Linked DNA regions of Anolis sagrei. The protein of the gene in region 1 purifies or fractionates together with the protein of each later gene. This does not show direct contact. Links are inferred from orthologs where the notes say so. Each region holds a gene or a part of one and is shown on either strand. Other genes may lie near its edges. The genes, in order: CAMLG and TNFRSF13B.

The links.
Region 2: the proteins of CAMLG (region 1) and TNFRSF13B purify together in Homo sapiens (affinity purification with western blotting; 3 studies listed by BioGRID and IntAct, with this or other methods). This does not show direct contact. The link is inferred for Anolis sagrei from reciprocal best matches to the Homo sapiens genes CAMLG and TNFRSF13B.

What each region holds. Positions count from the first base shown.
Region 1 is NC_090022.1:91,481,047-91,496,022, forward strand, and holds the start of CAMLG (guided entry of tail-anchored proteins factor CAMLG), read right to left. Parts: upstream 7,427-14,976; 5' UTR 7,343-7,426; coding exon 7,150-7,342; intron 4,664-7,149; coding exon 4,224-4,663; intron 3,796-4,223; coding exon 3,730-3,795; intron 2,592-3,729; coding exon 2,400-2,591; 3' UTR 1-2,399. Other genes in the region: protein transport protein Sec24A, read right to left, coding at 13,251-13,365, 14,316-14,419. UniProt on the Homo sapiens protein: Required for the post-translational delivery of tail-anchored (TA) proteins to the endoplasmic reticulum.
Region 2 is NC_090035.1:3,302,297-3,317,703, forward strand, and holds the start of TNFRSF13B (tumor necrosis factor receptor superfamily member 13B), read left to right. Parts: upstream 1-7,151; 5' UTR 7,152-7,168; coding exon 7,169-7,292; intron 7,293-11,840; coding exon 11,841-11,999; intron 12,000-13,020; coding exon 13,021-13,245; intron 13,246-15,407. UniProt on the Homo sapiens protein: Receptor for TNFSF13/APRIL and TNFSF13B/TALL1/BAFF/BLYS that binds both ligands with similar high affinity. Mediates calcineurin-dependent activation of NF-AT, as well as activation of NF-kappa-B and AP-1.

The DNA.
Region 1 (14,976 bases):
CTGATCAATTTTTTTAGATATTGGTTTTATCAAATGAATGCAGTCTTATTTGTTGTGGCAAAAATAACTGTGAGCCCTGATTCCTTTTATTAATCTCACTATAGGACACATTTCTTATGGAACACATGTAATCAGAACAATGAAATTCAATTCAATTATATGTAGTATTACGATTATTAGGAAAGTTCCCCCAAACCCTACTACTAGTTAGGATATCCTTCTGGTGGGTAACATGTAGTTTTAATTCCCAACAAAAACACTACCACCTCAAAAAAGATAAATGGTCTTAGCTTGTTTAACCATAGAGATTTAGAATTAGCTAAGCAAGACTTAAGTGGCACACAGATTTATTAACTTAATGGTAGCATACCAATTTAGAAAGGTTACTCGGACAAAAGTCAAGAAAAAAAATCTGTTAGAACGGAGGCGTGCAACATGTTTCATACCAAGCTTTATTTGACTGCAGTTCTCAGTATGCCTTACAATCCTATGTGCTGAATAGGACTAATGACAGCTATAGTCCTACATCACCTGGAAGATCACACATTATTCATACCTGCTTTGGCATAATGAGAACTAGACCACAGTGGTCTACTTTTTAATTGAATCCTTTCTGATACAACACAGGACTCAATGAAAAATTAGACCAGCAGGGTCTGTGGTGAACCACTGCTTCTTTGTTGTTTTGCCCAGTAATGGCAACAGACAAGCACACCACTGGAACACATGAAAACAGAAAACAGCCCTCAGACAAGTAAAAAGACCAGTGATTACACAGTCATTTTCTTTAGTGTTATTAGTGTTATTTCTGTACCAGTCCTTGCTCTAGTATGACCTTTATCCTTGATCAAGTAAAGATCAAGTGAAAAATGTATTATTCTTTTCATGATGTACAACAATTGGGATTTACAGAAATGACTTAAAGATAACATGCTTGGGGAAAACTTCCTTATCTGAAATATATGTATATGAAGAACTCTAAACTAAAGGCAAGAAAAGGTTTGATGATGCTACCAACCACTCAACAGAAGCCTTGAGCAACATAAAGGTTTATTTAGAACTATACCACTGGTTTCAGTAGAAGCAGTTTCAAGTAATTCTGTCTGGTCTTGTTGTAAGACCCCATTCACAGTATGCCTTTTAAAGTCTGGATTGAACATGTTCTGTGCTACCCACCCATCCTATAAACTAAAATTCACAAAAAGCAACTATTTAACTTAGGACAAAGACTAATTTTTAACATACAAAGCCACCTTCTTCCTCAATTACAAATAAATACAAGAATTCCTAAAATGTCCAGGCCAATGAGGCCAAACCATGTATTCTTGGGAAGAAAAATGTAGGAAACATGATTCAAAATCCTGCATTGGTTTAAACAACAATGCATTAAAACAACAGTGATGGATAAAACTGCTGACATAGTTAGATACAAAGGTCTAATCACAGAGAGCAGTTTGTAATCTGCAGTATTCACTTAACACAGTAAAAATGCCATCAAGCCATGTAAACATAATTTATTAGGATTCCTATTTAGATGCAAAAATTAATGAATGCTCAGTGGGACCAATGGGATTTTATTACCTAGTTTTTAAGGTCTGGCATTCACGTTTCCAATCAACCCTTCCCAATTATAAAACAAACACATAACCTACGCCAAGCTTAATTCTGTTGCAGTAACAGGCAGCTTGAGAACTGACTTTTTGTCAGAATCGTTTAATGGCTAAAAATGTATGGAGATGTTTACAGCAATTTAACAGCATGAGTAGTCCCTCAGAAATTCCTCTGGATAGAATCAGAGCATGCTTTACATGAATATTAAGTCTGCTTCCTTTCTCAGAAGGAACCAAGATCCTGCAGGGATTTGGAAAGGAGGCCATTTTCACTGATTTCCTCTTTGCCCTGAATCTCCCCATAGCCCTTTTATGGTGTTCCAAAAGGTTCCCCCACCCCACAGGAGACCTTTCAGAGAGCACAGAGGGAAAGGAGAGTGGGTCAAAATGTTCTTCATCCTTTTTGCAACAGCAGCCAGGTCATAAGACATGTCATTCTGACAAGCACAAGACCTCAGCTATCCACGGTTTTTATACTAAAGAGCCAGAGGAAATGTTACAATAGAAGACGGTACCTTGAATAGGGTAAAAGGACAATATTCTAGAATAACAGAAAGGCCCTGCACTTGGAATGCTATTTGTATTCTGTAACTAAGACATCGTGCACTGTTTTTCAAACTATAGTAATTCTGCATCAGTGCTGGGACCATGCCCTTCCCTTCAGAAGTGTGCTTCCAAAGCACAGAAACAAGTATGAATGGGATAACCCTGTTTATATATCCAGAGACATGTACAAAAACCAAGATTGATGCAGTCCTGTTGAAGACACCACACCGACGTCCACATCCATCAGGGCACTTCTGAACCGAAAAACAGGAGCAGTTCATGGCAGAAGATGAAGGTAAAGAAATAGACACAAAGGTCAGTAAAAACATCCCCCATTTTGCTGTAAGTGTCCATGGAACGACTAATAACTTCTGCAGGGATACCAGAGAGTAAAAGAGCAGCTGTTAAAACTGTAGTCTTCGTCTTCTTTTCACTCTGTATAACAAAGAAGGGGAGGGGGGAAGGAAGAAAGATTATGTCCATATTTCATCTTTAAGCACATTATTAGACATTTAATGTGTTTACAGAATGTCTGTTCCTGGTATGCATGTCTCAATAGGCAAGCAATAACTTAAACTATAACAGATCCCTTATACTATGCTATTTATTATAATCTTGGCATTAAATTTAACCTATGATGGGCCTTCATGCTCCTAGTCTCTTCATGCTCCTATCCTTCTTTCAAAAGTAACTTAAGTCTCCTGGGAGTAAGATCCAGCTATAAACCACCCGACATCTTGCTTTAAAGAAAAACATTCTTTTTGCCATGGCACCACCAAATTTCAGCACAGTGTGAAATATACTGGAGGTTGTGCAGGCCCTTTGACCCTGGAAGTTTCCAATCTATGGTCTAAGGCCAGTTCTGCACAGACACTATGATCCAATGGATTTAAACAAATTAATTTTGCTGTGCAGTGCCTACACAAACACCCCAGGAACCGGTTTGAGGCTGGGATGGCAGCAACAATAGTCAGAGATTATTGGGTTGGAACTGACCCCAGGAATTGCAGTATCTGTGGCTAGACAGCCATTGAAAAACGTAGGTTTTTTCCCTCTTAACCGGTCTGCTGAGATGTGCTGATGCACATATCCACATCTGTTCAGAATCACCCCTGTTTCAGGTCCTGAATGGGATCTCATCAGCTGCCATGCATCCTCTGGCTTATTCTGAACTTTCTGATGAGTTTTTCTAACATGTTGTTTCTGGCTTGATTCATGCTATAGCATTTTTGTGGACATCCCACCATCAAGCCAGCCTCAGACTGCACTACAGTGTCTGTGCAGAAGCACCAAAAGTTCAAAGAAGGCAGAAACAATTACTGTAACAAAGCAAAATGGGGTATGATTGTTGACATCTAAGCATGAGCACCTCTAACAACTTATATTTTATTACACAGCAGAAATAAACTCCCAATGGGATTTACTCCCCAACAAATATATAGAGTACTAACTGGAAAGCTCTAATGTTATTGGCTAATACACTGTTTATTAATCTAAAAATATTCTAGAACAGGAATTCTTTGCTGCCATTTTAGTCAAATTGAGAATATTTTTGTCCTGAAAAAGTTCTTACCTTTGGGAAATACTTGGACAATCCCATATATGCAAGTTGTAAGGTAAGAAAGGGAGCAAATATTGACTGTGGAAAAAAATATTACATGAATTAGAAAGTACAGTAGTTACAATGAGGAGTTAAACTGATTAATACCTTTTAAAAATCTGTCTTTGTGTGAAGGAGTTCAGCCAATACACATTCTAGGCCAAGGCTTTTTAAAAAACGTCATGTATTCTGACTCTTTTGCTATCTGGCAACGCTTGGAGGCCTTGAAGGAATCGGTGATACTTTGACACAAGATACTCTAAGCCACACACTTTAGTATTATCCTTAAGAACTACCATTTAGAGCATGCAGCTGTGGAAGAGTGGACAAACTGGACTGAATTCTAATCTTCACTTAGCTATGAAATCACTTCTCAGCGTAAATACACAGAATGTTCTATAAAGATGACAGTAAGACAAACAAGTAAGAAGGGGAAATATTAAAAATACTGTATTTTTTCTGCTTACCAGATATTTGCACACAAAAGCTCTAACTCCAATGGCAAGTAGTGCACATCCAACTAATCTAAAAATGCGGAAAGAGTCAAATTCTTCCACTGCATTTCCATTTTCTTGGCTCGGCTTCTCACTCATGAGCTGGTTTCTGAGCTTCATGGCTTCATCAAATCTTGACAAGTACTGGTCTAAACCATGGCGAGGGGCTCGTTGAGGAGCCTCTATCAGATCCCCCCTGCTGCGCTGCCGGAGCTCACTTGTGCCATCATTACCAGCCTCGGGAGGTTTGTTAAATGCGTCCTTTTTCTCCACTATGCTGCCTGCATGGTCGGCTGTTCCTGCCAAGCTGCAGACAGTATCCCCAAGCACAATCCGCTTGGAAACAGGAGCTGGTAGAGGGCTTGGTTTTTCTGATTCAAGCTGAAGTTTAGATTCTGAATGGCTGTCTTCATCTGAAGAAGAGACAAAATGGAAAAAGGACACACAATACAGGTCAAATATTTTAGGCTGGGCTTTAAATCCTAAGAAATGAAGGTGCTGTGGGACTAAGGCTCAAATAAGAATGGCACACTGAATTGACGTCTATCTCTTGGCCTTTAAGCACTTTCAGAAAGGTAGTAAGAAGCATTCCAGTAATACTTCTTTCCAACGTAAGATTGTCTTTCAGCCAGCAAAGCTTTTCTGCCAGTGGAGAGAAAAAGGATATTTGCTGACTCATCCTCCCTTGGCAGTCCCTTGAAAATCTGTATCAATGGATCAGGGAAATTTCTAAGAAAGTTGGGTGTGGCACTTGGCACTGAACACAGAGCAGGGAATTCGAACTTCCCTGTTTCTGCAAGATCTCCACTTGGAGACATTCTTGCTTGAAGAAATAAAAATTCTGGAGTCTTTGCCCTTGTAAACCTGAGGCTATCAAAATGCTTCTTATCAAAGGAAATAACAGCACTTCCTTTACAGCTTTTGAAAGAACCCAAGGCCCACACATTCAGTGAATATTTTACAAACCTGGTCATACTACTTGTATTGTATTGCTGGTTTAATTTTCTTACTGCCTATTTAAAACTGCATTTTTAACTTGCCCTAATCAATGTTTTTGTGAACTTCCTTGGGAAAAATAACGAGGGACCGTTGAAATAACACTGCATTGTAACACCAAAAAAACAAACAAACAAACAATTAAGCCAGATTTATGGGAATACACAAATTACAGGAACACCTAAATTAGGCAGATGAAATTAGAGGGGAAGTAATGCAACCACAATGTTCTTTGAACAACACATGTTGCTATTTCTCAAATTACACTACAACATCTTCCTTCAAACTAATGCCCTTCAGAGAAATTAGACTGTAAATCCTATTACCTTCAGAAAGTGTAACTACATTAGATTGGGCAACGCTGCACTACTGAACAGAACTCTACTTTACTAGGGGAACTTGGCACTTTCAAGAAGACTGCAATCAAGCACCAGTCTAGCATCTTTTGCCTATTGGGTTTTTTGGGAAGGTAAAATAGCTACTAGTGATGCCCACAGGAAAAGTGGCAACAGGTCCCTGAAAACCTAAATGCCTGTTCTAAATAAAAAGGAGAGAGTAGGATAGTAAGAGTAATTTATTCCTCCCCCTGCCACAAGCCTGGCCTGCTTTTTAGGTTGCAAAAGCTTAACAAAACAACTTGAAAACGGTTTTCAATAAAGGCTTTTTTTTGTTAGTCTTCAGGTTATGCTAGTTTCTGTATACTTTGTGCACACATTTGTTCATTAAGCACCATCCTATCTACTAGGACTACTTTATGATCCGTAGTATGTATCTGGTTTGAGTGGTTATCAATCGACCAGTAGGCACTCTGAGTCCCTACTAGCTGTTATATGTGAATCTATGAATAAAGGGATCACAACTGATCCTTTCAACTACATCCAGCTATGGATGAAGCAAGTGATAAGTCCTCATGGGACTGAGGGTACACCCACACTCTAGAATTAATGCAGTTTGACATCACTTTAGCTGCTACAGCTGGATACTATGGAAACCTGGGATTGGTAGCTTAAATGGCTGAGGGAGAAAAGGAAGGGGCCTGAGACTGTTGTAGTTTTTTCAGGCTGTATGGCCATGCTCTAGAAGCATTCTCTCCTGATGTTTTGCCTGCATCTATCTATGGCAGTCATACTCAGTTTGTGAGAACTGAGGCTGTTAAGAAGTGTTGGAGTTGCAGTCCAAAACACCTGGAGGCCCCAAGTCTACCCATGCCTGTTATAGTATGTAGTTAGACCTATTTTAACAGGGACTCTCAAGCAACCACAGATTGGGTTGTTGTAGGTATTTCGGGTTATATGGCCATGTTCTAGAAGCATTCTCTCCTGACGTTTCCCCTGCATCTATCTATGGCAGTCACACTCAGAGGTTGTGAGAACTGAGGCTGTTAAGAAGTGTTGGAGTTGAAGTCCAAAACACCTGGAGGCCCCAAGTCTGCCCATGCCTAGCATAGTATGTAGTTAGACCTATTTAAACAGGGACTTTCAAGCAACCACAGACTAGGTTGTTGTGGGTTTTTCGGGCTATATGGCCATGTTCTTGAAGCATTCTCTCCTGACGTTTCCCCTGCATCTATGGCAAGCATCCTCACAACCTCTGAGGATGCTTGCTATAGAGGCAGGCCAAACGTCAGAAGAGAATGCTTCTAGAACATGGCCATACAGTCCGAAAAACCTACAACAACCCAGTGATTCCAGCCATGAAAGCCTTCGACAATACAACCAGATACCCTGCACTTTCCAATCCCCATGGGTGCCTGTTAACTGAGAGTCCGCTCGCTGTACGCCAGGCCTGGCTGGGAAGGAGGGCGAAGGCGCTCCCAAGCGGGGCCAGAGTCGCGGCAGGGCCCTGTTACCTTGGCAACGCTCACCCCCCCCCCCGGCCTGCCCGGGTCCCGCCCTTTCCTCACCTCCTTTCGGGCGGTGGAAGCCCATGATCCGGTTGATCCGCTCCTCCGAGTTCATGAGCAGCTTCCTCCGGCGGATCTCGGCCCGGCGCTGGGAGGCCGTGAGCCCCGCGGCCGAGGAGGAGGAGGAGGCGGCTGTGCCGGCCGCGTCGTGGTTGGGGCTTCCCCCGTCGCCGCCCAGAGGGCCCGGCTCCATCCTCGCCCGCAGCACGGCGCCTCAGGCCTCTCCTCCTCAGGCACACAATAGGACTCGCCAGGCCTCGCGCTGACACTCGCTCGCCAGTGCGCATGCGCCCCCGGCCGCCATTTCAAGTTCCGCCTCCAGAGCGGGAAGCGAGCGGCGACATCTTGGGTGAGGGCAGGAGCCCTTTGGGGCCTGGGAGTCGGCTCGAGACCTCAGCCCGCTGCCGGCAAGAGAGCGCCCTTAACAACGATGGCAGGAGTGACCTCGCTGGGAGGGCGCGTCTAAGCGAGGGAGGGAGTTGCCGCAAGAGGTGAGACGGCAGCGGGCGATGACTTCACCTGCGAGAGGGGGCGTGGTCACAGTGGTCTCCAAGCGGCGCTGTCCATTGGAGTGACGCAGAGGTGGTGGGCCGCTCTGTATCTTGAACTGCTTACAAATACACGCCGAGGTTGTATTATTCAACAACCTTGGGACCAGAAGTGCCGTGGCTTTTGGAATACACACGCAATGATAGATCTTGGGGATGGGACCCAGCTCCACACATTTGTTTCATATACACCTTATAGGCATCGCCTGGAGGCAGTTTTTTATATACAATTTTTAATAATTTTGAACATGAAACAATCCTCGTGTACGTTGAGCCATCAAAAAAAAACAAAAACCCAAAGCAACGTCAATGGGTTGCTGTAAGTTTTCCGGGCTGTACGGTCATGTTCCAGAAGCATTCTTTCCTGACTTTTCGCCCACATCTATGGCATGCATCCTCAGAGATTGTGAGGTTTGTTGGAAACTAGGCAAGTGAGATTTTTATATCTCTGGATTGCTCAGGGTGGGAGGAGGAACTCTTGTCTGCTTGAGGAAAGTGTGAATGTTGCAATTGGCCACTTTGATTAGCATTGAATGGCCTAGCAGCTTCAAGGTCTGGCTGCTTATTGCCAGGTATTGACAGTAGAATCATAGAGTTGGAAGAGTCCTCATGGGCCATCCAGCCCAACCCCCTGCCAAAAAGCAGGAATATTGCATTCAAAGCACCCCTGACAGATGGCCACCCAGCCTCTGTTTAAAAGCTTCCAAAGGAGCCTCCACCACACTCCAGGGCAGAGAGTTCCACTGCTGAACGGCTCTCACAGTCAGGAAGTTCTTCCTCATGTTCAGATGGAATCTCCTTTCTTGTAGTCTGAAGCCATTGTTCTGTGTCCTTGTCTCCAGAAAACAAGCTTGCTCCTTCCTCCCTGTGACTTCCTCTCACATATTTATACATGGCTATCATGTCTCCATCCTCCAGGAAATAAAGCCCGACTGCTCACTGGAGGGAAGGATACTAGAGACAAAGTTGAAGTATTTTGGCCACATCATGAGGAGACAGCAAAGCCTAGAGAAGACAATTATGCTGGGGAAAGTGGAAGGCAAAAGGAAGAGGGGCCGACCAAGGGCAAGATGGATGGATGGCATCCTTGAAGTGACTGGACTGACCTTGAAGGAGCTGGGGGTGGTGACGGCCGACGGAGCTCTGGCATGGGCTGGTCCATGAAGTCACGAAGAGTCAGAGACGACTGAACGAATGAACAACAACAGCATCATGTCTCCTCTCAGCCTTCTCTTCTTCAGGCTAAACATGCCCAGCTCTTTAAGCTGCTCCTCATAGGGCTTGTTCTCCAGACCCTTGATCATTTTAGTCGCCCTCCTCTGGGCACATTCCAGCTTGTCAATATTGCTCTTCAGTTATGGTGCCCAGAATTGGACACAATATTCCAAGTGTGGAGTACATCACATGATTACAAAAATATTAGGAGGGCATTATTTGGGCAATACAGAAAAAGATTTTTCTGTAATTTAAGATAACAGAATCTCCTTTCAGAGCTTTAACCTGGGGACAGAGAGGGTTCTCATTTCTCAGAAGCCCATACCCTTTTAGTGGCACATACTTGCCAGTAGACCCCTTACAGACCTTTTTTTAAGAGGGGAGGTGGTGCTTCTATTGGTTCCATCACCATCCTAGAGAGACCCAAAAAGTGTTTCAGTGGTTTCTCCAGGCTCCAAAACCCCCTTTCATAGCGTACACAAAGGGCACTTGCAGCATGATTCCCATGCAGTGGTTCCCAACCTTTGGTTCTCCAGGTGTTTTGGAGTTCAACTCTCAGATAGCCCAGCCTAAGTCCCTACTAGCTGTATATGTTAAACAATGAATAAAGGGATCACAACTGATTCTTGCTTGCAAACTTTGTGTTTTGTCTGTTTTGTTAAAAATGTAATACAAATGTCTGGTTGCTTCTGACACGATAAATAATAATAACTGATTCTTTCAACTACATCCACCAATGAAGCAAGTGATGACTCCTCATAGGACTGAGGGTACACCCACACTCTAGAATTAATGCAGTTTGACATCACATTAGCTGCCATGGCTCGATACTATGGAAACCTAGCATTTGTAGCTTAAATGGCTGAGAGGGAAAAGGAAAGAGCCTGAGGCTGTTAGGAATTGTCTGAATTGAAGTCCAAAACACCTGGAGGCCCCAAGTTTGCCCATGCCTGGTATAGTATGTAGTTAGGCCTATTTTTAACAGGGATTCTCAAGCAACCAGGTACTATTTACCCTGCACCTTCCAATCCCCATGAGTACCAGTTATTCAAATAGATAATTCTTGTTTTAATTCACAAAGTCAAAGGCTGTTTTGTATGATCTTGGGAAATATCTGCAGTTCAGCATCAGAGTTTGATTTTAATAACCAGATACATCTACTGTATATACCTTTATACCTCTATATTTCAGAAGTAAATCTTGTGGAATTCAGTGAGGCTTTCTACAATATTAGAAAAACTGGTAAATTTTAAACTGTTTCCAAAGACAAAAAATGCAGTAATATACAATATAAATCTGGCAGGTTGTTAATTTGATCATTCACAGACCCACTCCTTACCGTGCCTAAGACCATATTCAGATTCTCTGCAGCTTCCAGCTTTTTTATGTATAAAAAGGACTAATAAAGTTTATGTAAGCTCTTTCAATAATTTTATTGAGTAGCCAAATTTGATAAATTAGCACAGCTAAAATAAGCATTTGCATGTGTTACAAATGACTTTTTACAGGAATAAAACAGTGAAAATTACAAACTGTAAAAAGGGGAACAAGTAAAACCTTGCCTCCAGTTCAGAAGAGCATGGTTTACATTTTCACACTGAAAATCAATGTCGGAGTTCAGAAAACAAGGATTAATATTACAGTATCTTACACTACTTTACAAAATCAAATTGGAAGGATTTAATTGTTCACTCACAAACAGAAGTTTTGTCACATTTGATGGTCCCTTAACATTCTGGATCAGATTCTATATTCTGTTACGTGAATTCTGAATAAAAGGACATTGTATCCTCATTATTGCAAAACAGTCAAACTTGAGTCAGATGCAAATAATTAAATAAAAAAGTAAGTACTAATTAAAATGCTGATGCTTGACTGATTGAACATCTTGATCATCTTGAGTTATTCTTTAAAAATATTGAGTTAGAAAAATAGAGAACATTTGCTGTGGTGCTCCATGCAAAAATGGATGTATCAGGGCCACTCTTGCCTAGGATAGCTGTTAGAGACATTAAAATCAACTAATTTAAAGTACATCATAGGCAGTTTGACACATAAATATGCCTTGCAATTGCTGTTATTAAAATGTAAGTAAAAGCAATTGTGTTCCCTATTGTAAAGGAATAAAATCAAAAAATTCAGTACTGCAAAAACGAGTATGAATATTCCAAAAAGCATTTGATTCAGATAAGATGCAATTATTGTTGAAGAATCCCTCTAGGAGACTGTGGTAAGGGCTGTATTCTTGAAACATATTTCTTAGTTATCTCTTCAGTAGATTTGGTTCTTTAAAGCCCAATACACTGGCTTTCAAGAAGTTAAGCCATGTCTACCCCATTCCAAACTAAAAATGTCTGCAGATGGGAGAAAGTTGGACATAGAACTTCATATGAGAGTGCCCACTCCATCCCCTCCAGAATAAACCCTTCTCAAACCTGACAGCACTATTGGTAGTTTCAGCATTGTGTCTGTGCAGAAAGCACATATCCAATGAAAAGTGTAGGATGCACAGCATCACTTTTATGTAGACACTATATCTGAATGAAAAAAGTAATCTAGGCACGGAAGTCTGTATCTTTGAGTATATGACTCTTGGAAGATTGCTAGGACTGTGTTAGAACATTACTATTCAGGCTTAGGATGTATTGTGAGGCACCCAGTGGATGATTCTCCATTATGCATATGCTCCCAAAGCGGATTATCAATACTTCACATTAAATAACTAAAATAGAGCCTTAAAAAGCATGGCAGCAGCAAGAAAATACTTCAGTTTAGTAGAGTTCAACAGATATTTTAATCCTTTTTCAAGAGAGATTCCCCCTCCCCTCCGTAACATAAGAGTCGCAACTCCATAAGCAGTTTTGCATAGACCAGCCCGGATAAATTAGAAGGAAATGTTTTGAGTATTGTCAAGGCGTTATTATTCAAAATATTGGTTTATCAACATGGTTGTTTGTTCAGAGAACCTCGGTGACCTTTTGTACATGTATGTACCTATTTCTATAAGTGGGGAGACTTTAGTTAATCACTCCTAGTTTAACAGAAGGAATGTCCAAAAAAGATGTGAATGAAGTAATCTTTCCCAAACTCTATTTTTGAGCAGTAAGGGTCAAAGAAGATAACTATGGCAGTCACAAGTTACAGCACTGAAGAAAGATGTTGCTACCGCAAGTTACTTATTCAGATGTTCTAAATGTACTAATAGTATTTGTCATGATTTAACTCTCATTAGATTTCAGGGTATGAATAAAACTAACATTTATGCTATGTGCTTATAAATAAGCAAAATCTATAATTTTTGCCCATGAAGTAGGATTTTTTCAAAACTTTCTCCATTAAAGTCACAAAATAGTTCCCTCCTAACCTTTAAATGTCAAAATTCCTACTATTTAATTAGATGCCGCTTTGGATTTCCAACAAGTTATTTGATAGTGTTTCTAGTAAACTGTGAAATATTGTTTAGTTTCATCAGTAAACATTCTTTTACTAAAAATATTAACACATTATGAACATGTGACTTTAAATTTAATCAAACCTATAAAATGGCCATGGCATTTTGGTTGAAATCTCTGTTCCCCTATTTACTTTCAATGAATCAAGATTAAAGACACCATGTTAACATCCACATTTATAATTTTTGAAACTGAATCAGGCCACTTGATTATAAATCTCATTGGACGTAATGAAAACTTATTGTTCTTTTAGATACTAGAACACCGATGCATTCTATAGATTTTAAAATGAATAGTTTAATGTTGATTTTTAATCTTGTTGGACCACTGTAAGTTTGTTTCCCCCCGCTCATCATAATCATTGTTAAAAAGTTTTGTTAAAAAAATTCTAAATACTTTCTCTCTTTCACAACAAATGCTTTCATTGCTCCTTTAAAAAGGCAGTTTTCAACTACTGACATATATTCAAGACAGTATCATTTCCCTGCAATTCAGTTCTGGGAGGTTGTTATTCTAGCAGCAAAACAAAGCAGAAAAACAAAAATAAAGTTAAAACATATTTTGAACAAAAACATTATAAAGTTTCATCTTTTCAATATTACCTTTATCACTCATGCCAAAGCTTACGATGAAACATTGTGTAGCAAATTAAAGGCATCCAACATATCCAAAATGATTTTAATTGTTTAATGTACAACTGCACAATAGTATACTTATGATTCTGTGGTCCTTTATTTGCTTTGCCTTTTTTATTATTTTGGGGGGAAATCACAGTGAGATTCTTGTCAACTGCATCAGACCAAAATCTTTTTAGGAGCATCATGAATGCAAGTGTTCTGCACACAATTATTCTCCTTTGACTGGATGAGCCATATCACAGCAGGGTTCATTTATTCACTTGTTGCTGAATATGCAAAAGGAACTCATAGTATGATAAAGCAGATTCTGTTCTGTCTTCGATCATGTTTTGGAGAAAACTTGGTTTCCATGGACTTTCATCCCTTCAAAATAAAATCAAAAGAGAGTATGAGAATGCAGAACATCAATGTTTAATTATTCATTCCTCATACAGTATTTCAAAGATGTAGGATCTGTCAAAATGCATATCAATGGCCAAGGTGATGCATCATCATATGTAAACAGTGATGGATTCTGCCATCATAATGATGTTTGACAAAGCCCAACCCTTTCAGAACAGCGGAGCATCAGCTTGAAAGGTTGAGGCACTGCAAATGAGTGCATTGGGAAATGCCATCTGCAGCACTCTTCTTCTCACAAGGCAGATCAAAAACAGGCATCTGGAGTGACCTCTCAGGATCTTGCTTGTCTCAAGGTACCCCAAAATTGGGAAAGAGCTTCAGGTGTCATCTCCCAGCAATACAATTCGCAGTGCCTTAGAAACCCCTTGTTTGTGGTGCTGCCAAGCTGAAAATGGATTTTGAGGTCAGGTTCAAATGTTAACAAGCATAACCATGAATTCCTACCAGTTACACGATTCTAAGTTCACTTTACAATTTTTGTAACAATGCTAGTTTATGTAGTATTTAATCTGCAAAGAGAGAAACTGTAATAAGACAGCTCTTTGAACATAACCTGATGCATATATGGAATTCTCTTTATTCACACCAACATCAGGGACATCTCCATATGTGCAACTGAGCAGCATACAGAAAAATAACTTCCAATAATAAAATCAAAATCCTGTCTATGCAAGAATGTCATGTGTACTACTTAGTACTAGTAAATTGGTTCTTAAGCACTGGATCATCTCTTTCTCCATCTTTATAAGCCATCAAATATTCAGTCCTGCTACACTGCCCCCTTTCTTGTAACTAATACATTTGTATACATACTCTGTACCATAAAGCACGAGAAGTCTGCAACTAAGTTGGGAGGCAGCACTGCAACGTTTTCTCAATCTGCATGCTGAATAGTCCAAAATGGGGCTTACCTTAGTATGTACAATATAGAAAAGAATGGCCTTTGCTCCCTCAGCCATGAGATAAAAGCAAGCACTCTAGAAGATTCAGCTGTGTCAAGTTCTGGAAGATGTGTCTGTTGAGAGTAAAATGAAATTATATTATAGATGTATGTTCAGTTGGGAGCCCCTCCCCCCAACACCAAGTGCTGCTCTGGGACCAGAGTAAAGAGAGAGATCCAAGAAGATATTGTATTTATTTTATTTATTGTATTGTATATTACTTGTAAACCGCTTTGAGTCCCCCTCGGTATGAGAAAAGCGGTATACAAATATTGCAAATAATAAATAAATAAATAAATATTCAGTGCATGGAGCAGCACTACAACACTGATTTACATTCATCTCCTTGAACCTGCAAGATTTATGCCCTTCGTCCATTTGGGATCAGGGAGTGAAAAGGGACAAAACTCTTTTCCAATTGCATTTCTTCTGCTACTACACTGCTATTGTTCTTTTATACATTTAGATGTGTTGTGCTACACACCCTCAGAATTCCTTCAATTGTTCCTCAAGCCTACTCACAATAGAAAAACATCCTCCTAAATCGCCACAATGCTGCTAGAGAACAAGGAGACTGGATGGCCGGAAGTGAAGTTCACTTCAAGAACTGCCCCCTTTTTTCAATCCACAT
Region 2 (15,407 bases), on another chromosome or scaffold:
TCAACCAAGGGGTCTTCTGTATACCCATGTTGTGGGAATCCAAGACCAAAATACCTGGAGGAAAGGTTGAAGTTGGCCCACGCCTTTGTCCTCTTGGGACTGGATACTTAAGTCAACCAATGGATCATCCAAAAGACCTGGAGGTAAGGCCGAAGTTGGCCCATGCCTTTGTCCTCTTGAGACTGGATACTTAAGTCATCCAAGGGATCTTCTGCATACCCATGTTGTGGGAATCTGAGTCCAAAACACCTGGAGGGAAGGCCGAAGTTGGTCCATGCCTTTGTCTTCTTGGGACTGGATACTTAAGTCAACCAAGGGATCATCTGCATACCCATGTTGTGGGAATCCAAGACCAAAAGACCTGGAGGAAAGGCTGAAGTTGGCCCATGCCTTTGTCTTCTTGGGACTGGATACTTAAGTCAACCAAGAGATCATCTGCATACCCATGTTGTGGGAATCTAAGTCCAAAAGACCTGGAAGAAAGACCAAAGTTGGCCCATGCCTTTGTCATCTTGAGACTGGATACTTAAGTCAACCAAGGGATCATCTACATACCCATGTTGTGGGAATCTGAGTCCAAAAGACCTGGAGGGAAGGCCGAAGTTGGCCCATGCCTTTGTCCTCTTGGGACTGGATACATAAGTCGACCAAGGGGTCATCTACAGAACCATGTTATGGGAATCTGAGTCCAAAAGACCTGGAGGGAAGGTCAAAGTTGGCCCACGCCTTTGTCCTCTTGGGACTGGATACTTAAGTCAACCAAGAGATTATCTGCATACCCATGTTGTGGGAATCTGAGTCCAAAAGACCTGGAAGAAAGACCAAAGTTGGCCCATGCCTTTGTCCTCTTGGGACTGGATACTTAAGTCAACCAAGAGATCATCTGCATACTTGAACATGACCCCCCCCCTCCCCCAATAAAAGATAGTAACTTATAGTTTTGCGAAGGACAAGGACACCAGACTGGATAATAAGGGTTAATTTGCCAAGACACTAACAACAACAACAAAGACCCTTCCCATGTTAGATACTGTGTACATTTAATCAAGGTTTTATGCCCTAGGTTTCATATATAGCAGAAGGTAACACATTAATTACTGAGAAACCACCTCCCTTTACACTTATGTACTCTCTTGAACTTCTATGGGACTCTGGGGGGTGGGATAAGTGGGTATGTTTTCTGCACCATGATTTCTATATTTCTCCCTGTAAAATGTATAAAAATATGAGAAGCCACCCTCTGTGACTCTGGAAAGGAGGAAATCCTCAGTTGAAAAGAACCTGATCAAAAGACACTTTTTGCATGGACAATAACAATGGATCGTGACCCTTGGGACTCGGAGTTGGCCCCCCCCAGTGGAGGCGGTAGCTTGGCATTGATGATCATATCTCAATAGGACAAAAGGGGCCTTCGGAAAGCCACACTTGGTCCTGATCTGTTATTCATTTAAATCTTCCTCTACCGAAACTTCAGCCATATTTCCTCATTGTTCCCATATCTCAGCACCAAAAAATCCAGATCTGGCAGCCTTGCCAGACATCAACGTTTATTGCCACCAATCAAAGACAATAGACTGGCCGGCTAGAAGGCCCCTGGACTTGCTAACCGCTTGGATATTCCATATCTCCATAAGCCCTTCAAGGATTCATTGTTTCCCTCTCGTCCCGCCTCCCTCTCTCCTGATTGGTCAGGAAGCCGAGGCGGCAGAAGCCCAGTGATTGGCCCAGGCGCTCAGGCGCTTAAGTCAACCAAGGGATCATCTGCATACCCATGTTGTGGGAATCTGAGTCCAAAAGACCTGGAGGGAAGGCCAAAGTTGGCCCATGCCTTTGTCCTCTTGAGACTGGATACTTAAGTCAACCAAGGGATCAACTGCATTCACACAATCGGTGAATGACAGCCAGTGTGATGCAATGTCTGGAACCATGACTTTGGAGACCAGGGTTTGCATCCCTGCTCAGCCACATAGTGATCCTGGGTGAGTCACACTCTCTCAGCCTTCAAGCAAGTCAATAGCAAAGCCTCTTCTGAACCAATTGTGCCAAGGAAACCCCAGGAGAAGTTCAGCTTAGGTCAGAAGATGACTTGAAGGCACAACAACAATCATGTGTTGCAAGGTGATACAGAAGAGAAACCTTCTTGGGGTTGGAGCGCTACATTTTCCACTCTCTCGTGGAACTTTCCACATGTTGTTTTTCTAGGGGGGGGGGGTTCTATTAGTAGTTGCAGGTGGCCTCAGGTTGAGGACCGGACGCAGGTGGAGGCTCGGAGCTGGGCGGACGGAGCACTGGACCCTTGCATTCCCAGTCATATCCCGTCCTCAACCCATTTTCCTCTAGACCAGTGTTTCTCAACCTTCCTCATGCTGCGACCCCTTAATACAGTTCCTCATGTTGTGGTGACCCCCAACCATCAAATTATTTTCGTTGCTACTTCATAATTGTAATTTTACTACTGTTATGAAACATAATGTAAATATCTGATCTGCAGGATGTATTTTCATTCACAGGACTAAACTTGGCACAAATACCCAATACACCCAAATTTGACTACTGGCAGGGTTGGAGGGGTTGATTTTGTCATTTGGGAATTGTAGTTGCAGAGATTTATAGTTCACCTACAATCAAATAGCATTCTGAACTCCGCCAATGATGAAATTGAACCAAACTTGGCACACAGAATTCCCATGACCAACGGAAAATACTGGAAGGATTTGATGGGCACTGACCTTGAGTTTGGGAGTTGTAGTTCACCTACCTCCAGAAACTCAAACAATGATGGATCTGGACCTAACTTGGCATGAATATTTAATATGTCCAAATGTAAACACTAGTGGAGTTTGGGGAAAATACACCTTGACATTTGGGAGTTGTAGTTACTGGGATTTATAGTTCACCTCCAATCAAAGAGCATTCTGAACCCCACAATGACAGAATTGGGGCAAACTTCCCACACAGAACCCCCATGACCAACAGAAAATACGTAAGGCCACCCAGTCCAATCCCTTCACCAGGGCAAAAAAACAGAAATGAATATCATGAAGCTTCATAGAATCATAGAATCAGAATCATAGAATCAGCACAAGGTGATTGGTTGGGCCATGCCTGAGAGGCTAGCTGAGCCTGGGAGTTTTGGCAACAGTTACATAGAATCCTAGAGTTGGAAGAGACCTCCTGGGCCATCCAGTCCAACCCCATTCTGCCAAGAAGCAGGAATATTGCATTCAAATCACCCCTGACAGATGGCCATCCAGCCTCTGCTTAAAAGCTTCCAAAGAAGGAGCCTCCACCACACTCACTCCGGGGCAGAGAGTTCCACTGCTGAACGGCTCTCACAGTCAGGAAGTTCTTCCTCATGTTCAGATGGAATCTCCTTTCTCCAAGAAGCAGGAAAATCACACTCAAAACCCCCCCGTCAGGTGGCCATCCAGCCTCTGTTAGGATTGGTTCTCTGTTCCTATATGGCTCTTCCCCTATTTGGATTTCTGTTGGGATTTATAGTTCACCTACAATCAAATAGCATTCTGAACTCCGCCAATGATGAAATTGAACCAAACTTGGCACACAGAACTCCCATGACCAACAGAAAATGCTGTTTTCTGATGGTCTTTGGCGACCCCTCTGACACCCCCTCGCGACCCCCACAGGGGTCCCGACCCCCAGGTTGAGAAACACTGCTCTAGAGAGATAGGAGGCCTCACCTTGGTATTATTATTATACTGACACAAAAACACAGTATGACGCAGCTAATGAGATCTATATATTGGATTTCGTTATTATTATTATTATTATTATTATTATTATTTCTTTCCTGCCTCAACTCACAGAAAGAACAGGTGGCTGGAAGTGGCATTTTGAACAAAAACAACAAGCAATTGCAAGATTCGCTCCCCGGCTCAATGGAAACCATTCACAGTTGCTCCATAGCAGCTATCTCAAGCCTATTATTATTATTATTATTATTATTATTATTATTATTATTGCATTTTATTGGCATTGATCTCATGTACATTTTGTTATATGCATTTTACTAGTGTTGTGTTGTATTTATTTTAACTTTATTTTACTTTAACTGCGTCTCGAGTTGCAAGGAGAGGCAAGTAACAAGTTGTTGTTGTTATTGTTGTTATATGATACACAACAAGATCAGTACACAGCAAACAAGATCACGAAGCTGGCTGTTATTTATTTATTTATTTATTTATTTATTCCCATTGACTGGAAAGGTAAGACCCAGAAGCTTTAGCTGGAGAACAGCCTGATCCTTCTTCTTTCCTTTTCTCCCCTTTCTCTTTCCCTTTCCTTCCTTCCCTTCTTTCCCTTTCTTTCTTTCTTTCTTTCTTTTTCTTCTTCCCTTCTTCTTCCCCTTTCCTCCCCTCCCCTTCTTTCCCTTCCCTTCCCTTCTTTCCCTTTCTTTCTTTCTTTCTTTCTTTCTTTCTTTCTTTCTCTTCTTCCCTTCTTCTTTCCCTTTCCTCCCCTCCCCTTCCCTCCCCTTCCCTCCCCTTCTTTCCCTTCTTTCCCTTCCTTCCTTCCTTCCTTCCTTCCTTCCTTCCTTCCTTCCTTCCTTCCTTCCTTTTTCCCTTTCTTTTCCTTCCCTTTCCTTCCTTCCCTTCTTTCCCTTTCTTTCTTTCTTTCTTTCTTTCTTTCTTTCTTTCTCTTCTTCCCTTCTTCTTTCCCTTTCCTCCCCTCCCCTTCTTTCCCTTCCTTATTTATTTATTTATTTTATTTATTTAGTACACTTGTATACCGCTAATATCTCAGCCTGTGCGGCGACTCATTGCGGTTTACAACATATTTAAAAATACAATATTCACTTTAAAAATATAAAATAAAATATAAAAATACATACATATACATACATAGTATTGGGCCACCAATACAGACCGGAACATCTCATAGTTAAAGTCGTAATCCAATTCGTTATCCTTGATTGCTAGTCCATGATCAAAACATCATCACATCGGAATTAGTTAAAAACTTGCTCGAACATCCAAGTTTTCAGTTTTTTCCGAAATGCCATTAGCGAGGTGGCTGATCTTATTTCAGTAGGGAGGGCATTCCAAAGCCGGGGGGCCACCACAGAAAAGGCCCTATCTCTCGTTCCCGCAAGCCGCACTTGTGAAGCAGGCGGGATGGAGAGAAGGGCTTCTCCTGAAGATCTTAGGGTCCTGGTGGGCTGATAGGCCGAGATACGTTCGGATAGGTATGTAGGGCCAGAACCGTTTAGGGCTTTAAAGGTCAAAGCCAGCACTTTGAATTGGGCTCGGTAGCTAATCGGTAGCCAGTGGAGCTGGTACAGCAGAGGAGTTGTATGCTCCCTGCGCCCTGCTCCTGTTAATACCATGGCTGCCGCCCGTTGGACTAATTGGAGCTTCCGGGCCGTCTTCAAAGGCAACCCCACGTAGAGAGCGTTGCAGTAATCAAGGCGGGATGTAACCAGAGCGTGGACTACCTTCCTTCCTTCCTTCCTTCCTTCCTTCCTTCCTTCCTTCCTTCCTTCCTTCCTTCCTTCCTTTTTCCCTTCTCCCTTTCTTTTCCTTCCCTTTCCTTCCTTCCCTCCTTTCCCTTTCTTTCTTTTTCTTCTTCCCTTCTTTCCCTTTCCTCCCCTCCCCTTCCCTCCCCTCCCCTTCCTTCCTTCCTTCCTTCCTTCCTTTTTCCCTTCTCCCTTTCTTTTCCTTCCCTTTCCTTCCTTCCCTTCCTTCCCTTTCTTTCTTTCTTTCTTTCTTTCTTTCTTTCTTTCTTTCTTTCTTCCTTCCTTCCTTCCTTCCTTCCTTCCTTCCTTCCTTCCTTCCTTCCTTCCTTTCTTTTTCCTTTCTTCCTTCCTTTCCCTTAATTCCCTTTCTTTCCTTCTTTCCTTTTCCCTTCTTCCTTTCCTTCCTTCCCTCCCTTTCCTTCTTTCCCTTTCTTTCTTCTTTCTTTTTCTTTCTTTCTTCCTTCCTTTCTTTTTCCTTTCTTCCTTCCTTTCACTGAATTCCCTTTCTTTCCTTCTTTCTTTTTCCCTTCTTCCTTTCCTTCCCTCCCTCCCTCCCTCCCTTCCCCTCCCTCCCTCCATCCCTCTCTTTCTTTCTTTCTTTCTTTCTTTCTTTCTTTCTTTCTTTCTTTCTTTCTCCCTTCTTTCCTTTCCTTTCATTCCCTTCCCTTCTCTCCCTTCTTTCCCTTTCTTTCTTTTTCTTTTCCCCTTCTTCTTTCCCTTCCCTTCTTTCTTTCCCTTTCTTTCTTTCTTTCTTTCTTTCTTTCTTTCACCCTTCCCTTAATTCCCTTCTTTTGCTTTCTTTCTTTTTCCCTTCTTCCTTCCCTTCCCTTTCTTTCTTTCTTTCTTTCTTTCTTTCTTTCTCTTTTTCTTTTCTCTTCTTCCTTCCCTTCCTTTCTTCCTTTCTTCCTTTCTTCCTTTCTTCCTTTCTTCCTTTCTTCCTTTCTTCCTTCCTTCCTTCCTTCCTTCCTTTTCCCTTTCTTCCTTCCCTTCCCATCCCTTCTTTCCCTTCCCTTCTTCCTTCCCTTCTTTCCCTTCCTTCCTTCCTTTCTGGTAGGCAGTTAGGAATGGTGGGAGTTGAAGTCCAAAACACCTGGAGGGCCCAAGTTGGCCTGTGCCGGCCATATATTCATTCATTCATTCATTCATTCATTCATTCATTCATTCACTATATTTCTATACTGCCATTCTCAGCCCGAGGGCGACTCATGGCGGTTTCGATGCCCACAATACTGTTGTTGTCGTCGTTGTCGTTGTCATCATCATCATCTTCTTCTTCTTCTTCTTCTCCTCCTCCTCCTCCTTCTTCTCCTCTTTCCTCCTTCTTCTCCTCCTCCTTCTCCTTCTCCTCCTCCTCCTTCTCCTCCTCCTCCTTCTTCTCCTCCTCCTCCTCCTTCTCCTCCTCCTTCTCCTCCTCCTTCTCCTCCTTCTCCTTCTCCTTCTCCTTCTCCTCCTCCTTCTTCTCCTTCTCCTTCTCCTCCTCCTCCTCCTTCTTCTCCTCCTCCTTCTTCTCCTCCTCCTCCTCCTTCTCCTCCTCCTTCTCCTCCTTCTCCTCCTTCTCCTTCTCCTCCTCCTTCTTCTCCTTCTCCTTCTCCTTCTCCTTCTCCTTCTTCCATGGCAAGGGTGGTCTCATTCCAACGGCGTATTCCTCTGCTCTTCTTTTCTCTTTCTGCAGGCCTTCCTTCCCAGGTCTCCCCGATGGGTCTCCAAGGGCGCACGCCATGTCCGAAGGGGCAGTTCTGGGACGCTCTCCTGGAGCGGTGCATGCCCTGCGGCCTCGCCTGCCACACGCGCAAGTTCCAAGGATGCGCCGACTTCTGCAGTGAGTGTCCGGGAAAGGTTTGCCAGGGTGCCAGTTGCTTCTGACCGACATCCAACTAGACCCAAAGCGGTGCCGCAGCCAAGGAAGTCGAGCGAATTGTCGCTTCGTTGAGGTTCTCCCAGGATAGAGCGTGATGTTGCAGAGGGCCACTTCACCTAGGTTCTCCCAGGAGGGACTTGGCTCTGGGTTTCCTCTGCTCTGCTCAGAGAAGAGGATGGTGCTCCTCTAGATATATACAAGTCAAGGATTGGCTGTCTGTCTGTCTGTTTGTACCACCAAGGCTGCTGCTAGGTGGAGTGGCCCTCTCTGATGCCACTGAAGTGGCTGTTGCAAGGTAGAGTGGCCCTTTGCAATGTCATAGGAGTAGTTGTTCCTAGATGGAGTGGCCCTCTCTATGATGTCACTTAAGTGACTATTGCTAGGGGAAGTGGCCCTCTGGGGTGTCATTGGAGTGGCTGTTGCTTAGGTGGAGTGGCCTTCTGTGGTGTCACTGGAGTGACTGTTTCTAGGTGAAGTAGCCCTCTGGGGTGTCACTGGAGTGGCTGTTGCTTAGGTGGAGTGGCCATCTGTGGTGTCACTTGAGTGGCTGTAGCTAGGTGGAGTGGCCCTTTGTGGTGTCACTGGAGTGGCTGTGGCTCGGTGGAGTGGCCCTTTGTGGTGTCACTGGAGTGACTGTAGCTAGGTGGAGTGGCCCTTTGTGGTGTCACTGGAGTGACTGTAGCTAGGTGAAGTAGCCCTCTGTGGTGTCACTGGAGTGACTGTTTCTAGGTGAAGTAGCCCTCTGGGGTGTCACTGGAGTGGCTGTTGCTTAGGTGGAGTGGCCATCTGTGGTGTCACTTGAGTGGCTGTAGCTAGGTGGAGTGGCCCTTTGTGGTGTCACTGGAGTGACTGTAGCTAGGTGGAGTGGCCCTTTGTGGTGTCACTGGAGTGACTGTTTCTAGGTGAAGTAGCCCTCTGTGGTGTCACTGGAGTGACTGTTTCTAGGTGAAGTAGCCCTCTGGGGTGTCACTGGAGTGGATGTTGCGTAGGTGAAGTAGCCTTTGTGATGTCACTGGAGTGGCTGTTGCTAGGTGGAGTGGCCCTTTGTGGTGTCACTGGAGTGGCTGTTGCTAGGTGAAGTAGCCTTCTGTGATGCCACTGGAGTGGCTGTTGCTATGTGGAGTGGTCCTCTGCAACATCACGGAAGTGGCTGTTGCTAGGTGAGATGGCCCCTGTGGTGTCACTGGAGTGGCTGTGGCTCGGTGGAGTGGCCCTCTGTGGTGTCACTGGAGTGACTGTTTCTAGGTGAAGTGACCCTCTGTGATGCCACTGGAGTGGCTGTTGCTATGTGGAGTGGTCCTCTGCAACATCATGGAAGTGGCTGTTGCTAGGTGAGATGGCCCTCTGTCCTGCCACTGGGGTGACTGCTATTAGGTGAATTGGCCATCAGTCATGTCATTGGAGTGGCTATTGTTAGATGAGGTGGCCATCTGTCATGCCACTGGGTGAAGTGGCCCTCTGTCATGTCACTGGAGTGGCTGTTACTGGGTGAAGTGGCCCTCTGTCATGCTGCTGGAGTAGCTGCTCTAGGTGACGTGCCCCCTGTCGTACGACTGGGTTGGTTGCTGCTGGGTGAAGTGGCCCTCTGTGATGTCACTGTGGCCCTCTGTCATGCCACTGGGGTGGCTGTTACTGGGTGAAGTGGCCCTGTGTCATGTCACTGGAGTGGCTGTTACTGGGTGAAGTGGCCCTGTGTCATGTCACTGGAGTGGCTGTTACTGGGTGAAGTGGCCCTCTGTCATGCCACTGGAGTAGCTGCTCTAGGTGACGTGACCCCGTGTCATATGACTGGGTTGGCTGCTGCTGGGTGAGGTGGCCCTCTGTGATGTCACTGTGGCCCTCTGACATGTCACTGGGGTGGCTGTTACTGGGTGAAGTGGCCCTGTGTCATGTCACTGGAGTGGCTGTTACTGGGTGAAGTGGCCCTGTGTCATGTCACTGGGGTGGCTGTTACTGGGTGAAGTGGCCCTGTGTCATGTCACTGGAGTGGCTGTTACTGGGTGAAGTGGCCCTGTGTCATGTCACTGGGGTGGCTGTTACTGGGTGAAGTGGCCCTGTGTCATGTCACTGGAGTGGCTGTTACTGGGTGAAGTGGCCCTGTGTCATGTCACTGGGGTGGCTGTTACTGGGTGAAGTGGCCCTGTGTCATGTCACTGGAGTGGCTGTTACTGGGTGAAGTGGCCCTGTGTCATGTCACTGGAGTGGCTGTTACTGGGTGAAGTGGCCCTGTGTCATGTCACTGGGGTGGCTGTTACTGGGTGAAGTGGCCCTGTGTCATGTCACTGGAGTGGCTGTTACTGGGTGAAGTGGCCCTGTGTCATGTCACTGGGGTGGCTGTTACTGGGTGAAGTGGCCCTGTGTCATGTCACTGGGGTGGCTGTTACTGGGTGAAGTGGCCCTGTGTCATGTCACTGGGGTGGCTGTTACTGGGTGAAGTGGCCCTGTGTCATGTCACTGGAGTGGCTGTTACTGGGTGAAGTGGCCCTGTGTCATGTCACTGGGGTGGCTGTTACTGGGTGAAGTGGCCCTGTGTCATGTCACTGGGGTGGCTGTTACTGGGTGAAGTGGCCCTGTGTCATGTCACTGGGGTGGCTGTTACTGGGTGAAGTGGCCCTGTGTCATGTTACTGGAGTGGCTGTTACTGGGTGAAGTGGCCCTGTGTCATGTCACTGGGGTGGCTGTTACTGGGTGAAGTGGCCCTGTGTCATGTCACTGGAGTGGCTGTTACTGGGTGAAGTGGCCCTGTGTCATGTCACTGGAGTGGCTGTTACTGGGTGAAGTGGCCCTGTGTCATGTCACTGGAGTGGCTGTTACTGGGTGAAGTGGCCCTGTGTCATGTCACTGGAGTGGCTGTTACTGGGTGAAGTGGCCCTGTGTCATGTCACTGGAGTGGCTGTTACTGGGTGAAGTGGCCCTGTGTCATGTCACTGGGGTGGCTGTTACTGGGTGAAGTGGCCCTGTGTCATGTCACTGGAGTGGCTGTTACTGGGTGAAGTGGCCCTGTGTCATGTCACTGGAGTGGCTGTTACTGGGTGAAGTGGCCCTCTGTCATGTCACTGGAGTGGCTGTTACTGGGTGAAGTGGCCCTCTGTCATGCCACTGGAGTGGCTGTTACTGGGTGAAGTGGCCCTGTGTCATGTCACTGGAGTGGCTGTTACTGGGTGAAGTGGCCCTGTGTCATGTCACTGGAGTGGCTGTTACTGGGTGAAGTGGCCCTGTGTCATGTCACTGGGGTGGCTGTTACTGGGTGAAGTGGCCCTGTGTCATGTCACTGGGGTGGCTGTTACTGGGTGAAGTGGCCCTGTGTCATGTCACTGGAGTGGCTGTTACTGGGTGAAGTGGCCCTGTGTCATGCCACTGGGGTGGCTGTTACTGGGTGAAGTGGCCCTGTGTCATGTCACTGGAGTGGCTGTTACTGGGTGAAGTGGCCCTGTGTCATGTCACTGGGGTGGCTGTTACTGGGTGAAGTGGCCCTGTGTCATGTCACTGGGGTGGCTGTTACTGGGTGAAGTGGCCCTGTGTCATGTCACTGGGGTGGCTGTTACTGGGTGAAGTGGCCCTGTGTCATGTCACTGGGGTGGCTGTTACTGGGTGAAGTGGCCCTGTGTCATGTCACTGGGGTGGCTGTTACTGGGTGAAGTGGCCCTGTGTCATGTCACTGGGGTGGCTGTTACTGGGTGAAGTGGCCCTGTGTCATGCCACTGGAGTGGCTGTTACTGGGTGAAGTGGCCTCCGTGATATCACCGGAATGGCTACTGGGCAAAGTGGCCATCTGTGATGTTGCTGGAGTCACTCTTGCTAGGTGAAGTGGCCACTTGTGATATCAATGGGAAAGAACGTTGACCTGTGTATGGGAGGAAGGGAAGAAGGAAGGAAAGAGACACGAGGAGAGCCATGGAGACATTGCGAGGTCTCGAGAGCTGGAGAAGGGAGGAAAGAGGGGAAGGAAAGAAAGAAAGAGAAAAAGGAGGAAGAGAAAGAAATGGAGAAGGAAGAGAAAGGAAAAGAAGAGAAAGAAAGAAGAGTAGGGAGGGAGAAGTAAGGAAAAGGAGGGAAGGAAGAATGAGAAAGAAGAGATGAAAGCAGGCATGGGCCAACTTTGGTCCTCCAGGTGTTTTGGACTCCAACTCCCACCATTCCTGGCCTCAGGCCCCTTCCTTTCCCCCCTCAGCCGCTTAAGCGGCTGAGGGGGGAAAGGAAGGGGCCTGAGGCCAGGAATGGTGGGAGTTGGAGTCCAAAACACCCAAAGGGCTGAAGGTAGTAGCTTGCAATGGCACAAACAAGCCAGGCCGGATGGCCATCGGATGCTCCAAGATACGATGAATGAAACTCGAGAAACTCAAGGATGCTGCTGTTCCCATGGCTACGTGGACTCTGTAACCACTGAGCTGCCGTCGAGTCCAAATGCCCTAAATTGAGCCTCTAGGGAACGAGAACGCTGACTCCTCTTTCCTTCCTCCTTCTCTTGATTTGAGTCCAACCCCACTTGTCTTTCTTTTCTAACTCCAGGCTCCATGGATTGCAGCAAGCGTCCGGGCTTCTACTACGACAAGCTCCTTCGAGGCTGCATCGATTGCTCCGGCGTTTGCGGGCAGCACCCCAAAGAGTGCGACCCATTCTGCCAAGGGGATCGGAACTCGCTCGGCATTCACCAAGTTGCAAAGCAGGGTGCGTCTCGATTCTCCAATAGGAAATACATGGGTTCCTCTGAGCATGGACAGAGAGCTTTTTGCATATCGCAAAGCAACTCTAGCATGGGAAGGGTAGTTAGGCCAGGCACAATTCTTCTAGGTCGTGCCCTTTTGCCAGGTTGCCTTTGGATCTGCCCACTCTGCTTCTGAGTCTATTCATGGACTTCCACCTTGACCATTCATGGTTTGGCCCTTGAGGAAGACCCTCATGGAGGACCATCCCATTGGGATTTCCGGGTTTAGCTGCCCAGAGGGATATTCTTACTCTTGCTGGAGGAACATTAAGAGGAGTGGTGGTTCTCATGAAGCTTTCCCTTGATTTAAGTCTACTGAGAAGGGGCTGATAGCCATGCAGTGAGTGGCTTTCACAGAGTTCATAATTGGATGATAGATGGGTGATGATTCCAGAGATCAGGCTTCGATCTCCTTCTCATCCATGGAAACCCATTGGACGGTCGTGGGTGAATCAAACACCCACCTCCACAGAATTCCGCAATAGGTTTTGCTTTAGGGTCAGGGGCGGCTCGTCCATTACGGGAAAAGGAAGTTTTTTGGTTCAGTCTTACAGTTTGGAAGCTCAGTTACAAGATGTAAGGTTTACTTGGGTACCCAAAAAGCAAATTGGAACTGGGAGTAAGGCCCCACGCCAGCCAGCCTAAAGACAGATTGCCCAGGGAAGGGTTGGAGGGTTTTCCTTGTAAAAGAAAGAAATAGTTCACAATTTCTTAACTTGAGGGCAAGTTAAGAATTTGTGTGTTTTGTTGAAGATTTAAGGAATAACAAAGAACTTTGTTAAACTTTCCAAGTTTCTAAAGACTTTGTTTAGGAAAATCCATAGGGCCTCTCAGCCGAGGCCCTCCGGCGTCCCGCTGGGCACAAAGAGCACATTCTGTTTTAAAAGACAATTGCTATTGCGTGTCAGCACAAGGCTGGTAAAGTGCAACTGCGGAGCAATAAATAAATGCCCCTCTGCTCTCTTTCTTCCGTCCCACCCTCAGATGCTCCTGCGACCTCCATGCCAGAGCCGTCCGCTCTGCAGGGTCCCCAGTGCCAGCTGTTTCCCATATGTGACCCGGGGATGTTCGTCTACATCGGCCTTGGGCTCTGCCTTTGCACGCTGCTCTTTGTGCTCTTGATGTGGGTTTACTTCCGAAAGCGAGGAGAGGAGGCGACTTGTCAAGCCGGCCCTGAGGCTCGCCACAAAAAGGGGGAACACCCAAAAGGTAAATAATATGCACTCAAGCTTTAGCACAGGTTCCAGAAATGGGGTTTAATTCCTCTCCGCTGTCTTTCGCTCAGCGCATGGCAGCGTGGTGCACATGTGCAGGCGAGGGAGAGCATGCAAGGCTGGAGGGAGGCTCTTACCATCGAGTCGCTTCAAAGCATGGGGTTTCTGTGAGGGAAGTTTGGCCCAATTCTATAATTGGTGAGGTTCAGAATACTCTTTGATTTTAGGTGGAACTACAACTTCCAACCTCAAGGTCAATGCCCACCAAACCCTTCCAATATTTTCTGTTGGTCATGGGAGTTCTGTGTGCCAAGTTTGGTTCAATTCCATCATTGGTGGAGTTCAGAATGCTCTTTGATTGTAGGTGAACTATAAATCCCAGCAACTACAACTCCCAAACGTCAGGGTCTGTTTTCCCCAAACTCCAACAGTGTTCACCTTTGGGCATATTGAATATTTGTGCCAAGTTTAGTCCAGTTCTATAATTGGCGAGGTTCAGAATACTTTTTGATTTTACATGGACTATAAATCCCAGCAACTACAACTCCCAAACGTCAGGGTCTGTTTTCCCCAAACTCCACCAGTGTTCACCTTTGGGCATATTGAATATTCGTGCCAAGTTTGGCCCAATTCTATAATTGGTGAGGTTCAGAATACTCTTTGATTGTAGGTGAACTATAAATCCCAGCAACTACAACTCCCAAATGTCAGGGTCTGTTTTCCCCAAACTCCACCAGTGTTCACATTTGGGCATATTGAGTATTCATGCCAAATTTGGTCCAGATCTATCATTGTTTGATTCCACAGTGCTCTCTGGATGCAGGCGAACTACAACTCCCAAACTAAAGGTCAATGCCCAACAAACCCTTCCAGTACTTTCTGTGGGTTATGGGAGTTCTGTATGCCAAGTTTGCTTCAATTCCATCATTGGTGGAGTTCAGAATGCTCTTTGATTGTAGGTTAACTATAAATCCCAGCAACTACAACTTCCAAATGTCTGGGTCTGTTTTCCCCAAACTCCACCAGTGTTCACATTTGGGCATATTGAATATTCGTGTCAAGTTTGGCCCAATTCTATAATTAGTGAGGTTCGGAATGCCCTTTGATTGTAGGTGAACTATAAATACCAGGAACTACAACTCCCAAATGTCAGGGTTTAACTACTATGGCTGGGCTTTTCAGTTTTCCACTCTCAAAAGGGCGCTGTGCCCTGAATCCCCACGGATACGGAGTGCTAAATGTATTTCATGCCGGGGTCACCACATTAGGAAGGTCGAGAAACACTGCTCTATCATAAGGTTTCCTGGGCAAGCGATATTCAAAGAGGTTTAACTACTATGGCTGGGCTTTGCAGTTTTCCACTCTCAGAAGGGTGTTGTGCCCCGAATCCCCGTGGATACGGAGTGCTAAATGTATATCATGCCGGGGTCAGCACATTAGGAAGCTTGAGAAACACTGCTCTATCATAAGGTTTCCTGTGCAAGAGGTATTCAAAGAGGTTTAACTACTATGGCTGGGCTTTGCAGTTTTCCACTCTCAGAAGGGTGTTGTGCCCCGAATCCCCACGGATACGGAGTGCTAAATGTATTTCATGCCAGGGTCACCACATTGGGAAGGTTGAGAAACACTGCTCTATCATAAGGTTTCCTGGGCAAGAGGTATTCAAAGAGGTCTTATCTTTCTTTGAGGTTTAGCCACTATGGCTGGGATTTGCAGTTTTCCACTCTCAAAAGGGCGCTGTGCCCGTAATCCCTGCGGATATGGAGTGCTAAATGTGTTTCATTCCAGGGTCACCACATTAGGAAGGTTGAGAAACACTGGGCTTCTCTTTGTCTGAGGTTTAACTACTATGGCTGGGCTTTGCAGTTTTCCACTCTCAAAAGGGCGCTGCGCTCCTAATCCCCGTGGATACGGAGTGCTAAATGTATTTCATGCTGGGGTCACCACATTAGGAAGGTCGAGAAACACTGCTCTATCATAAGGTTTCCTGGGCAAGAGGTATTCAAAGAGGTTTAACTACTATGCCTGGGCTTTGCAGTTTTCCACTCTCAGAAGGGTGTTGTGCCCTGAATCCCCGTGGATACGGAGTGCTAAATGTATTTCATGCCAGGGTCACCACATTGGGAAGGTTGAGAAACACTGCTCTATCATAAGGTT